Linked DNA regions of Xenopus tropicalis. The protein of the gene in region 2 interacts with the protein of the main gene of each other region in a pairwise test. Links are inferred from orthologs where the notes say so. Each region holds a gene or a part of one and is shown on either strand. Other genes may lie near its edges.

Region 1 (3,758 bases), on a different chromosome or scaffold from region 2:
CCTTAGATAGTACCAACATGTTATGCAGCATTTTACAAGAGATTACAATAGTTACATTAGTCCCTACCATAATGCAAGCTTATCTTCCTATCATATAGCACACACACTATTTGACTCACAAGCCAACATGTCTTCATACTTTGAAGTATGAAGAAAACTGGAGTAACTTGAAGAAATCCACTGAGACACAGGGAGAACATACAAACTCCTTGATTGTTATTAGGAATCTGGCAGAATGGAAGGTAAGAATGGCAAAAGAAATGGAAAAGCAAGCAAGTCAGAAGAGTCACTACAAAGTACAAAAAAATGTGCTGGCACATCAGGGATTCCCCCTGCATGTGGCAATTCAAATCAGGGATTCCCCCTGCATGTTTATTTAGTGCATGTGTAAAAAGGATGAAAAAAATTCAAGGGGAGAGTTGTGTAGATAATAAAAAGAGAAAGGAAACCACGGAACACGGAAGGGGTATCCCTGCTTTGAATTGCCACATTGTGCTGATACATTTTTTGTGTTTGTATGCACAGAAGTGAAGGGTTAGCGATCCCTCCTTGCGCACTAAGCACCAGACTGAAACTGAGGGAAAAGCCAGAGTATGTGGGTATTTTTGATGTTCAACAAATACTTATGGTCTTATAAAAATGCATTCTAAGAGTGCGTACGTCTTGTTCCGGATATCCACTGCACATGCACATCGGATAACAGAGGAAAGCAGTGTCCACACCCCAAAAGTACGAGCTTGGAGACCATTTACTGGTTGAGAGGTGGAGAAATAAAGCAAGTAATTAATAAAAGATAGAAAAACATTGTTCACTGGTTGTCATAATGCGAATCTTAAAAACCCATGTTACTTAAAAGGGAATTTGCTCAACTAAAAACTTATCATACATGATATACCATAGATGTTAAGACCTAAAAGAATAGAATCGTTTTGAAAATAAAACAGAGATGATTTATGAACGTAAGTGCTAAATTGCATAAGAGCAGTTGTCAGTTGCAGTTAGCAATTAGTTTTGAACAACCTACTACACATATTTATGACACCGCAGTCTATTATTTTACCATATTTGTAAAAGCATATCATTACCCTTTAATATCAAATACAGGCTATAAATTCTTGATCTGGACAAAATCCACACAGAGGATTAGACATCTAAGGCCTCTCTCCTTTAGTAAATGTTAGTGTTCATGAATTCACCATCAGGAGAACACTAAATAACAATGGTGTGCGTGGCAGAGTTGCCACTACTATCCAAACGAAAAACAAAAAAACTGCCATTACTACCTGTTAGTTTGCTATAGACCATGTGAGGAAATGTTGAGGACCTAAAGGAGGCAGCTCATGCAAGGAAGCCCACCAGCATCCCTTAGATAGCTTGCATGCTGGGAAGAGATGCCATGCTTTAGCATCCTAGGAAGAGCTGGCTTAGGAGTGAAATAAGGTCTTTTCAGAAAGCTGTTCCTTAATGATGGCCATATACAGGCTAAAACAGGCTGACTTGAGATACATTCCAACGTTAGTACTATCTCTAAGGCACTTGCCTATTTCCCGTGTCTCTTGTTTTTTTCCCAAACTCAGGCAGGCTAATTTGTACCTAAAAAAACATAAACCCTGGCCCATGTGTTAGGGAATTTAGATTGTAAGCTATATTAGGAAGGGACTGGCATAAATGATTAACCATCTCTGTAGAGGACTGCGTAAATGTGCCATTGCTATATGCAGAAAGATTAAACACAAGACCTTTTATTTGATGTTAACTAATGAAGCAACAATCCATGTTGATGGGAAATAATTCCCATTCTAGTAGTAATAGTACTGCACTGTAAAATACAGGATAATCCCTTATTCAGAAAACCCCATGTCCCAAGCATTATCAAAAACAGACCCTGCACCTGTATTTAATAATAATTTGAGCCCACTTTAGAAAGTAACAAAAATTTTTTTTGGTACCCTGATATCACTGTAAATGGTTATAAGGTATGGTATGGCCATATAATGAATTCCTCATTAGTGGGCTACAATGACTGGACTGAACTTCCTCCAAAAACAGGAATGTGTGGAAAGGTGTGAATAAGGAGGTAAACAACATCTGGAACCAAACTTTCCTTCGAGCCTTTTACATTCATAATGTAGTGGCCTGGGCTATCATATACCTTGTTTGTACACCCTTACTTGTTATTAGAACGCTTATATGTTACCTCTGGGTAAAAAGCTTCAGTAGAAATTCAGTTTACCAACCAGGGATTGGCTGCATGTGTTTTATGCTGGAGGAAAACCTGGTATAAAGTTAGCTGAGTAGGTCGACAAGCGCAAAGTTTAATAGGCAGGGCTGCATAAATGTTCATACCTACCCAGGTTAGGGCTAGCGGTATAAAGCTTGTCACTCAGGAAACTGTGGTCTCTAAAGCTCTGGAATGTGTTCCCAGCTGCGATAATGGAGACCATCATGAGCCAGCTTCTTAACACAGCCAAGAATCGGCTCATTTTTGGCACAAAATGTTTAATATATCGCAAAAGCTGAATTTTTTTTAAAACAATGCGAACCAATGCTGGTACCCCTGGAAGGAAGAATTTAAACATTTATTAGTATTTTTAAAAAGACTGGCTTCTGTATTCAACTTAAATTGGTCTGCACCAGACCTTCAACAAACATTTTTACCTGCTTAGACCCTCTAACTGCAACAGCTTTATGTACATCTTGACTTGCTATCATAATAAGATCAGAAATGGGTGTCCTTCCAGGGTATGGCAAAAAAAGGGCTAGAAGCATATTTTAGTAACTGCATTAAAAAAACAAACCACACTAGACCCCTTGCAGCAGCGATGCGTGGGCTGGCCCAGTATTGACAGGAACCACAGGTCAGGTGGGTTGAGGCTGCAGCCTGTGCATTTGTAGGTTTCTGTCAGGCACAGGTTGGATTTTAATATTTCACTGTTCTCTGCAGCCTGGTATCTATGTGGGCCTTGTACAATGGGTTTGATATCTGCCCAATTCCCCAGCAAGTGGCAGGGCAGACCACTGGCTTGGCCTGATACATGGGCCAGTAAGCCGCCAACTTATTCTGGAGTTGCCAACCAGGAAATCTTACCAAACAAGGATATTTTTACTTGCATGGTCAGATTTATGTTTACTGAAAAAAACTCTCTCAGTTCTTAGTTTCTTTGTATGTAAATCTGCAAAATACATTGAGGCCATATCAATATGTGGTAATAATAATAATACTTGGCTGTCTAAAAAACTATGGGATTTGAGCTTTGTATAGAAAATACAGTAGACAGTTACAGACAATGTACTGTATATTTTATTTGTACTTGCTATATAAAGCAACATCATAAAATGAATACATATATCCAAAGTTATTTACATTTTTTGGTGGAGAGCAATAAATGTTATTAAGAAATGCAAATAAAAATGGTTTCTTACAAATCTGAGGTTTACCTGCTGGAGATATGCAGCAACAGAAGACCTTGGACCCTCAATGCAAAGAATTTTAAACCAACCACTCACTCTCAAAGGGTGTATTAATGATTAACTATGGCCATAATTTTAAATGAGACATCCAGAAAACCCTGCTCGAAATATTAAAGTGTCCAGTTATTTCCCTCTGAATATTTAATATTGCCAACTGGTTATAGAAAACTATTCCAATTATTAACTTGTATTAAGTGACATCTTGATCATTGAGAGCATCATTTCCTAGTAGAAACAGGAACAGGCACATATGGGAGCCCTAGAATGAAATGTTTCCTTACTTAAAA
Region 2 (2,935 bases):
TCCTCTCTATTGTTCTAGCTCTGAATTATCACTGTCCCCTTGCATAATAACGGGATAAACTCCATGGGAGATTTTGATCAGATTTTTGGGTCAGGATCTCCATCTGATCTTCCAACAGGCATGTTGTGTCAGATGACAAATCTTTCATGCATTTTAACACATGATTTTTGACCTATACAACCACATCAAACTTGTAGAATGTATTTTGGCAATCCGTCACATCTTACAGGGGTTTAGTTCAATTCAAGATAAGAAAGAGGTAAGAACATTTACTACACATTGTCGTTTCCTTTCTTACACTAAAGGTCCCCATACACGGGCAGATTGTAGCTGCCGATATCAGTCCCTTAGACCGATTCTGCAGCTTATCTGCCCGTGTAGGGGCAGAAACGAGGGTCCTAGCCGACCGATATCTGGCCTGAAATTGGCCAGATCTCGATCGGCCAGGTTAGAAAATTCCGTCGGATCGGGGGCCGCATCGGCTCGTTGATGCGGTCCCCGAACAGACTGCCCCTTGCCGCCAGTATAATTTGATCGTTTGGCCCCACCGTAGGTGGGGATATCAGCGTGTATGGGGACCTTAAGCTTTTAGGGACATTTAAATAAATAACAAGACAGCACAAAAGAGCAAGATCTCCATTTAGAAGCCAATATTAATGTAAATACAGATATGCACGTAAAACATATACAAAAAAAATTAAAATAAGTCTTAAAAAAAACATACATTATACACATTAAGCAATACAGTAAGTTAGCTGTACAGTCCATTACAAGCATTGTCGTTGTGCAAGTGGCTTGCGTGGGGAACAAGCTGTTTGCAGCTTGTTACTAAGCTTTAAGGAAATGGTGTCTAGTGCATTATGAGAAAGCACATTCTCCTTCTCTACCGGGAGCTGCTGGTTTTTGAAGAAGCAAAGTCTGCAGACTGAGTGATATTTTTCAGCTCCTCCAATAACTTCCACCTGCACACAATGCAGAAAAAGGAGAAAAAAAAAATTAAATCTGATTCTATGAGATGGGGACCTGCACACACCATAACCTGCAGCCTTCTCAACCTAGGCCTTACCCAGTCTGAGGTTGAAAAGAGGCTTTTAAGACACCTGTCCCAACCCAAACCAGCCCATAAACATTATGCCACCAATGATGAGGCTAGCTTTTGTGGAGCCAGGCTCCACAGGCTGTGGCTGGGCAATGACAACCCACACCCAAAGTGCCGGCCAATTTTTTCCATCCAAATCTGCCCGACTGCCACATGTCACTGGCCCCTAATATATATTTTTCTTTTTAGCTCGTAATATGCAAAACTATTGTGGCAAATAAAGGAGGCAGCATCAGGATTACTGAGGGCTTTTAGAATGGATACAACTTAAGACTCAAACTAAAACTGCCATTTTATCATATAGCAACAAAAGGAAATTACGCAGCTTCACCCACTCACTGTGATAGAATAAAAAAAATGAGGTTACAATGAAACTGTAAAGGACATAATTTAAGAGTGGGAGGGAAGGAAGGAATGAATGTGGAAAATGCCTATATAGGGACCTGCATTTTAAATCCCTTTCTGGTCTGCAGGCTCATAACCTACAGGACACTAGCTGAAATTTGGCCTAATTAAAATTAACATTAATTCTTTTACCTCCTGCCTCAATGGCCATTACAAAACCCACATCAATTGAAGATTAACATGAGAATATACAGTAGGGGCATATTACAGTGTGTAAGGCAACATTACTGGCGATGTTCCCTATAGCAACCGATCAGCAATTCAATTTGGATGGTCACCTACAAGTTAGCAAATAAAAGCAAAGATTTGATTGGTTGCTATGGGCAACATCACCGGTGATGTTGGTTTATACTCTATAATAAATATGCCCCTATGAATATATCTAAACCAAATTAAGCAATATGGCCACACCATTTGTGTGTATGAAATTAAGTACAAGGAAAAAATTATTTGCACATTACCTGTATTTAAAGTACAATAACATAACAGAAATAATGCAATTTATTGGATTTACCTGTGAAGCAAAATATTTGCAATAATTTTGCTATCTGTCTATAGAAAACGTAGCTGGCATTTTTTGATGCACAAATAGCTCACATGCAGACAAGGACATAAATAATACCTCCAGAAGACTATTTACATACCTCCTTTTCTGCCCCTAGCCGCTTGGTGTATGCAGCCTCCCGATAACACTCCATGCAAACAGAGTTGAGTTTTACAACACTTTCTGCCAAAGGCACCAAATTCAAGATGTTTCCAAATGCCTAAAAATGTGCACAAAAAGGTGGTAAGGGCCACTTAAAACCCATGTAAAAAGCACAACACATTGCATTCTTATACTTGTAACTACAACTAACCTTCCTCTGAAATGTGCCATCCAGAGCTGCTACAATCATAGTCTTTCCACGATTTGCCATTTCCTCACAAAAATCTACAATGTCAGGGAACTGAATGAGAACAGAAGTTTTATTATCGGTCATCAGAAGTCAGGTGAAGAACGAACTTTAAAGTTAAATCAGGAAATACTCACAAACTGTCCTTCATCTATTCCTATAACAGAACAGGCCAAAGCTTCAGCGGAAACATCACGCAACTGGCAGGCAGATACAGCTGCCATTGTGTTCCTGCAAGGACAAACAAGCATTAACATCTCAATCTCTATACTTAACAGTTGCTTTAAAAAGGATGGGCACAGCAATGTAAAAATACTCTACATGGTTTGGAACAAAGAAGCACTGAAGTCCTCTGTAAAAGTAGTACAGTTATGGAATGCATTAGCTGGAAACCCTTTCTCCAAAAAGCTTTAAATTAGGGGAAGGCCATCTTCCATCGACTCCATTTTAATCAATAAAACAGTACCGTCTACTTTTGTTAATTTGTATTTAGATGATTTTGTGGGGTAAATTAATTTTGCTCCACTTTAACTCATAT

Evidence for each region.
Region 1: the proteins of tk1 (region 2) and erg28 interact in a two-hybrid assay, tested with the Homo sapiens proteins (2 studies listed by BioGRID and IntAct). The link is inferred for Xenopus tropicalis from reciprocal best matches to the Homo sapiens genes TK1 and ERG28.

The regions. Positions count from the first base shown.
Region 1 is NC_030684.2:82,404,711-82,408,468, forward strand, and holds the start of erg28 (probable ergosterol biosynthetic protein 28 precursor), read right to left. Parts: upstream 2,484-3,758; coding exon 2,351-2,483; intron 752-2,350; coding exon 661-751; intron 1-660.
Region 2 is NC_030686.2:26,190,097-26,193,031, reverse strand, and holds the end of tk1 (thymidine kinase, cytosolic), read right to left. Parts: intron 2,629-2,935; coding exon 2,535-2,628; intron 2,452-2,534; coding exon 2,362-2,451; intron 2,269-2,361; coding exon 2,149-2,268; intron 963-2,148; coding exon 768-962; 3' UTR 623-767; downstream 1-622. UniProt on the Homo sapiens protein: Cell-cycle-regulated enzyme of importance in nucleotide metabolism. Catalyzes the first enzymatic step in the salvage pathway converting thymidine into thymidine monophosphate.